Oryzias latipes: one gene and its partner. The protein of the gene in region 1 interacts with the protein of each later gene in a pairwise test. Links are inferred from orthologs where the notes say so. Each region holds a gene or a part of one and is shown on either strand. Other genes may lie near its edges.

What was found. The genes of interacting proteins can lie anywhere in the genome.
Region 2: the proteins of pex16 (region 1) and pex3 interact in binary tests that used the Homo sapiens proteins (3 or more experiments, as listed by UniProt). The link is inferred for Oryzias latipes from reciprocal best matches to the Homo sapiens genes PEX16 and PEX3.

What each region holds. Positions count from the first base shown.
Region 1 is NC_019861.2:661,640-665,392, reverse strand, and holds the start of pex16 (peroxisomal biogenesis factor 16), read right to left. Parts: upstream 2,371-3,753; 5' UTR 2,344-2,370; coding exon 2,145-2,343; intron 2,060-2,144; coding exon 2,024-2,059; intron 1-2,023. Other genes in the region: cars (cysteine--tRNA ligase, cytoplasmic), read left to right, coding at 2,486-2,507. UniProt on the Homo sapiens protein: Required for peroxisome membrane biogenesis. May play a role in early stages of peroxisome assembly. Can recruit other peroxisomal proteins, such as PEX3 and PMP34, to de novo peroxisomes derived from the endoplasmic reticulum (ER).
Region 2 is NC_019882.2:23,442,200-23,445,952, forward strand, and holds the start of pex3 (peroxisomal biogenesis factor 3), read right to left. Parts: upstream 2,894-3,753; 5' UTR 2,758-2,893; coding exon 2,685-2,757; intron 2,283-2,684; coding exon 2,151-2,282; intron 1,386-2,150; coding exon 1,304-1,385; intron 1,232-1,303; coding exon 1,188-1,231; intron 961-1,187; coding exon 839-960; intron 1-838. UniProt on the Homo sapiens protein: Involved in peroxisome biosynthesis and integrity. Assembles membrane vesicles before the matrix proteins are translocated. As a docking factor for PEX19, is necessary for the import of peroxisomal membrane proteins in the peroxisomes.

The DNA.
Region 1 (3,753 bases):
CTTCACCCTTCATCCATCCACGATCCATTTATCATCCATCCATCTATCATCCATCCATTCATCAATCCATCCATCCATCCATGCATCCATCCATCTTCCATCCATCCATCCATCCATGCATCCATCCATCTTCCATCCATCCATCAATCCATCTATCATCCATCCATCCTTCACCCATCCATCATCCAACCTTCATCCTTCATCCATCCACCATCCATCTATCATCCATCCATCCATCCATCCACCATCTATCCATCATCCATCCCTCCATCATCCATCTGTCATCCATCGATCATCATCCATCCATCATCCATCCCTCCATCATCCATCATCGATCCCTCCATCATCCATCTATCATCCATCCATCCATCATCCATCCATCCACCTTCATCCATCCATCCATCATCCATCAATCATCCATCCATCATCCTTCATCCATCCCTCCATCATCCAACTTACATCCTTCACCCATCCATCCATCATCCAACTTTCATCCTTCATCCATCCATCCATGCATCCATCCATCCTCCATCATCCATCCATCCACCATCCATCTATCATCCATCCATCTATCATCCATCCATCTAACCATCATCCATATATCATCCATCCATCCATCCATCCATCATCCATCCATCCTTCTCCCATCCAACCTCCAACCTTCATCCTTCATCCATCCATGATCCATCTATCATCCATCCATCCATCAATCCATCCATCATCCATCCATCCATCCATGCATCCATCCATCCATCCTCCATCCATCCATCCATCCATCATCCATCCATCCTTCACCCATCCATCATCCAACCTTCATCCTTCATCCATCCACCATCCATCTATCATCCATCCATCTATCATCCATCCATCCATCCATCATCCATCCATCCATCCATCCATGCATCCATCCATCATCCATCCATCCATCCTCCATCCATCCATCCATCCATCCATGATCCATCCATCCTTCACCCATCCATCATCCAACCTTCTTCCTTCATCCATCCACCATCCATCTATCATCCATCCATCTATCATCCATCCATCCATCCATCATCCATCCATCCATGCATCCATCCATCATCCATCCATCCATCCATCATCCATCCATCCATCCATCATCCATCCATCCATGCATCCATCCATCATCATCCATCCATGCATCCATCCATCATCCATCCATCCATCATCCATCCATGCATCCATCCATCATCCATCCATCCCTGCTGGTGTCATAAAGCTAACATGTTCTGTTCTTTGTGGGATTTTTATTTCAGATCTTCTTCTGTGTTTCTGAACAGAAACATAAACGTTTTCCAGAAGCAGCTTTCAGCTCTGGTTCCCAAACATTCAGGAGGTTCTTTTATCGTACTTTTACTTTTGCCGTTTTTGGAGATTTTATTTATACAACTGAATGTAGTGTACAAACTTAAATAGAATGTATTCTTTACAAACTCTTTCCTAGTGAAGAATAAACGTTCAGCTAAAGCATTTTTCAGAGCTTTGATATTTGTGACACTTTTTCAGCCCTGTAGACACTTCCAGCTGTGTCTGTCATTGTTCTTCCTTCTATTTGGACACTAAAAAATACTGCAGTTTTATCAGTAAATGCTCGTTTATTCAACTTTGTTTCAGATTACAGTTTTAGTTAATTAGCTAAGACATTAGATTAAACTAAATCAAAACAAAAAATAACTACAAGCTATAGTACAATATCAGCTGTTTCACACATTTAAATAATGTATTACAATGACTGTGATCTAATTATAAATAAATAATGCGATTATTTTGCAAATATACTCGCTATTTTTGAATTGCAGCTTTTCTGCAGGGAGACTTTTTCTTTTCTCTGAAACATTTCCTGAATCCACATACAGTTTTTTTTCCTGAGCTTTTAAATGTGAGCAGTTTTCTTCAGACCTTCATCATTGTAATAAAACAGAATTCACTCAAATCCTCAAAATAAAAAAACATTCAACGCGCATGCGCACACGTGCAGACTTTTTTGCACTAAGCAACTCACCTAATTCCGATATTTCATGACAATCAGCAAATCGACCTGCGGATTCGGAATAAAAGTGTCCTTTAGAAGCAGCTCGGTCATTGAAGGGTACCGCGGAAGCTGCTGCTGAGCCGCGGCTCACCTGCGATCAGGTAGGACAGAGTCCGGACGGTGTTCTCCAGCTGCGCCGTGGCCGCGGGGTTCCTCCTCACGTACTCCGTGTAGCGCTCATAAACGCGGCTCACTCTGTCCACGTAGTCCTTCATGCAAGACATTCTCCTGACCGGGCGATCGGAGCAGAGAGGAGCCGCTTCTGTGGCCTCGAGCCCACTTTTTCTCATGTAAACAAACTTCCGCTTGTTGTGGGCCGTCAGTCTTTAGCGTCCCCCTCGCTAACAGGTCCGCTTGCATTAGTTCCGGTTCCGTCTGCTTCCGGGCACGTTCTTGTTGCATCAGCATCTGCCGGTTAGCTCTGTGTTCATCATGTCGAGCTCAGGAGACTCAGGTAGGCGGTTTAGATCCTCTGACTGTCGGTTGGACATGAATTTATTACCAAATGTGTCCTAAAGATGCGATCATAAAGCGACCATGAAACCCGCGCGAGGGGTTAAGGAGCCGCGCTAGCTCAACCAACGACAACATGATGATCGAGCGGAATCAATGACAGCCGCACCGGGTCAAACCTGCTGATTTACCCGGGCTACACCTGCTGACTTACCCGGGCTACATCTGATGATTTGCCCGGGTTACACCTGATGGTTTACTCGGGTTACTTACACCTGCTAATTTACCCGGGTTAACCTGCTAATTTACTCGGATACACCTTTACCCGGGTTACAGTTACACCTGCTGATTTTTTCGGGTTGCACCTGATGGTTTACCCAAGTTAGACTTGCTGGTTTACTGTGTGTGTGTGTATGGGTGTGGGTGGGTGGGTGTGTGCGTGCGTGCGTGCGTGTGTGTACTCCCTTTTATATTTAGATGTTTTAATCAGATTTCTTGATGTAACTAACTGCGTTTATTTGCTTTTGCTTCTGCTTTTTAATATTAAAACAATAATTTATATCTAACAATGTTTATTAAATAATTGTATCCATTGAAGCAAAAGTTCTTTCAAACTGTTCAAACCATTATTGTGTTCAGGAACGTTCTCTCAGAGTTTCGGTGTTTGTCTTGGACCTCTAGAACCGACCCAGCTCTGGTTCTTCTGGTTCTGAGGTTGTAGCTTCCTGCGTTCCTCTCATGAGTTTCCTGTCAGACGGAGTCTTCTGGGAACAGGGTTCCCTCCAACTAGAGGCCGTCTCTATCGATTCATTCAGCAGTCGATTGGTCAACAATGATTGTTTTGTTTTTGACTCGAGGTGATAGTGCCGCTATCAGTCCTCTGAGGTTGGCGTCATGTATGGTACTGCTAAGGCTCGGCTTATGTCTACCTCAGGTACAGGTACCTTTACCTGTGCCTTACCTGTCCTTAGTAAGCCTGTACAGGTAAGCTCTATTCGAGCACAAAAAGCCAGAATTGGCTGTTCCTGATTCCTGCTCTGAATCCGTGTCTGAAGGTCCCATAGAAAAAATGTTTTTATGAACATGGGTTTAACTATTGCAGCTGGTGAACCCAGTGATCATTTCCCCTCCATCAGATTGCTGAACTGACTCGGGTTGTCGCGCCCCGATCCTGTCTTTAAATTCTTCAGGTCTCATTCCTTCTGGATCCCGTTAACTGTAAGTGTTGCAGACATCTCTGGCGTGCG
Region 2 (3,753 bases), on another chromosome or scaffold:
TCATGTGGCGGGACACTGTTGCTCTGGAACACGCTAGAAGCCGTTTATTTCTTTGCTTGGAGCAAACTGTTAGTGCAGAACAACGTCTGCAAACACTTCCTCGTTCAAAACTCAGAAAGAGCACATATGGCCGAGCAGCCCCCCTTTTTCCTCTCCTGCGCATCCCCGTCCAGCCTCATCCAGGAGCGCCCAAGGCAACGCCTCCTTTGTCACTGCGTTGCCTCCATGACAACCGCAGTCACACAAAAAACACAACAAAAGGGGGGGGGGGGGGGGGGGGGGTTGCCAGGCTAAACGTTTGCCGTTTGGACCAAATGTGTTTTTATTACTGTTATGATTATTATTAAGGGCCTGCTCGCTCATATTTTTTTTAATCCGTGCTCAGATCCGCGGAAGGTGGAAATGCTGCTACGTAGTCCTCAGAACGTCTATGTTTGATAGTTTCAGCATTGTATAGTGTAAATGCAAAAGTTAATTCTGACTAAAATACATTTTTTTCTGACGTCAGAGTCCTGAAAGAGTAGAAGGGACTCAGCAACCTCTGCTCAAGGAGCCTGCAGTCAGGGGGGGGGGGGGGGGGGGGGTCTATACCCAGGCCTTTAGGGCCGGCCTCCCGATGGTTTTCCAGAAACCCAGAGGATCTGCTGTCGATTACCTAGATGAGGTCTGTTTAGCCAATAAGTTGCTTCACTTAGCAGGCTGGCTCGAAAACATGTCAGACACTGGCCCCCGAGGCTGAATTGGACACCCTTGAATTAGGGTTCAGTGTGTCACAATGTGTGTGTATGTGCAAATAGCCTGAAGGGCTAAAGTCATATCAGTTATGTGCACTCCTTACCGTTGGGCTCCTCCCTGCAGAGTTATCCAGGTACAGGTACCCCCCAATGATGTTGAGCTGGACTCTGAGCAGAACCACCAGCATGCAGGAGCTGTACACAGCCACTATGGTCCGTGTAAAACCTGAATGAAGCAGTTTGTGAGAGAGAAGGGCAGCAGCATTAACAAAAACAGCTTCCTCTTTAACCAAACCAGTGACATTTGAGACTGAAGAAATGCTTTTACCACCTACATCTGAAAGATTCAGAACTTTTTTTACTTTTAATAAGCAATAAGGAGATTAGAAACGAGACAGATGAACTTGGACAAACGTGAAACTGGTTAACCCTCTGGAACCTTCAAACACTCACTAATGATCTTCAGATCCTCCCAGATCTCCAACTTGTTGGCTGGTCTGTGAGACAAACACAGAGGGTGAACCTCCACACTTCACTCATCTCCAGCCTTCATTCAAGCTTCTGCTCACTTGGTTTTCAGCAGTGTGGTCAGACTCTCTGAGTCCAGATGGGTCATAATGGCTTCTCTGAGTGGGGGGAGCATGGACAGCACTGCAACACAAAAACCTGTGTGAGAGCCATGAAGCACTGTCCCCGTCCCACATCAGTGAGGGACAGCTGCCTTAAGGCCCGTTCACACCGGGACGAATTTCGTCGGCGATTTTCGCCGACGTTTAACGCCTCGTGACTAAACAAAGGGCCCCAATGAGAGTGTGCACACCGACGCGAAAAAACGCCACGCGACAAAGCGTCAGAAAAAAAAAACGCCTCGGGTTCGTTTTTTTTTTTTCGACGCGTCGCGTCGAAATCTACTCGACCAATGAGAATGGCGCTTTTGCTCACGTGTCTGGAGCTTCTGAAGTTACAGTAAAACACAACTTGGGGGCGCTCAAACACAAAACTGCCTTGCTGAGCACACATACCAGCGAAGAAGATAGACCCCAAGTAGCGTCTACACAGCCGCGAAGCAATAATGACGGACATTCTAAAACATCCCCGAACCAAGCACCAGTTGGAGCTACTGGTGCTTGAAATATTCATGTTTTCTTTGTTTGATTCTGACAAGCGTGTAAATACTTGCTCTCTTCTTCTGAGTGAAAAGCGACTTTAAGAAGCGTAAAGTTGCGCAGCGCCACCTTGTGTACAGGAGTATTTCTGTTTTACATTAAGCGCCATCTAATGTCAGGGAATGAAATTGCATGTTCACTCCACTCATCGTCAGCGAAAATCGCCTGGGTGTGAACACAAAAAACGTGGCGAAAAACGCTGGCGAATAACGCCTGGCGAATATTCGTCCCGGTGTGTACGGGCCTTTACCCGTCATGTTGCAGGTCCTCTGGTTGCTCTCAAAGTGGAACTGCCTCCTGGCCTGAGCGATGTACTCTGCAGCCTCCTTCTCCTGGACCTCCTTCAACTTCTTCTGGGCATATTTTCCCAGCAGGTAAACTCCTTAAAGGAATGGGGAGTGGTCTGTCTGAGCAAACTGTTCTTTTGAATTACTAACACAGAAACCCCCACAGATCAAGCAGCAAACAAGCTGAAACCACAAAGTCTGTTCCTTCAGATCTGCAGCCAGCATTCCCATAATATCACATTACAAAAACAGACACTAAGATGCAGATAAGCTAACCTCACTATACTACTTGGCAATTCAACAGTCGCCGTGAACGTTATTAATATTAGTTGGAAAGTAACTTCAAGAAAACGAGTTTTTTGCATCGGAGACGTAAGAGGTTATTTACTGCAGACGGACCTCCCCAGTTCTACGTATTTTAAATATGAATGTATCGGTTTAACGTAATAAGACTACAAAATGCTGCTGTTAGCAAACAGGCTAACAGAATAATGTACCTGCAACCACAGCTCCCGTGAAAAGAAACTTCCTTTTGTGGCGTTTAATAAAGGACCCCACAGAGGAAAACATCTTTGCGAAGTCGAAGAAGTTCTAAATTAAAAAAATAATATAAAAAACATCCGACGTGGAGTTTATTTACATTTCAGCCGCTCACACGAGCTGCACACACTGTAACGGAAGAGGAAAAAAAGGCCTCGGAAATGACGTCATTCTCCTTTTTCTTGTGTAGTTTTATGGACGCATTACCGCCACCACCCGGGCCCTGTTCCAGAAAGCTGCATAATTTGGTTTTTAAATAAAACTCTTTTGAACAAAATACAAGTACACAACACGAGAAAGAACCATTCAATGTACAATGTACAAGGAATGTACACAGCATATACTATAGACTATATTAAATAACAATAGGGGTGATTACATAAATATCTGCAAAGATTGACAGATTTCACTAGTTTTGAGGGCCTTTCTGCTGGTGGAGTATGACACTGATTTTATATAAAAATCTTTGATGAATTGGGGGAAGTATGGTGTTTTCTTATTACATTAACATTCATGTATGTAGTATTTCACCTGAAGAATTAATACATTAATTATTAAAATAAATATAAAAAAATAAGACCTTCGTATGACGGAGTTTTAGGGCCACCCAAAAAAAAAAGTACATACGTTTTTTTCCTTTCCTTTCTGTGTTTGCCATGGTTTCGCAATCAATGAATATTCATTTGTGGGCGTTTCACGGACTATTTATGGGCAACTATAGGCTTGTCATGAAGCCGCAAAAGCTGCGCTGCATTTAGAATCGGTTGTGATTTATTAAGGGAAAGATGCGTAGGATGTGCGTGCGCGAGTTGGATAGTGTTACAAAATGCAGGGGGATACAACAGAAAAATAAATTGTCTCAGATACTTGGAATATCACTCAGGGTGTCATAAATTGTTATGGCTTTAGGTGAGTCGATTAACTTTATAGATTTTAAGTATAAATTGATCTCATTGTTAAAGAAGTTAAAGCTGGGGTGACATTTCTGTAACCTATTTTTGTGTATAAAAAACTTGGCTAAACATA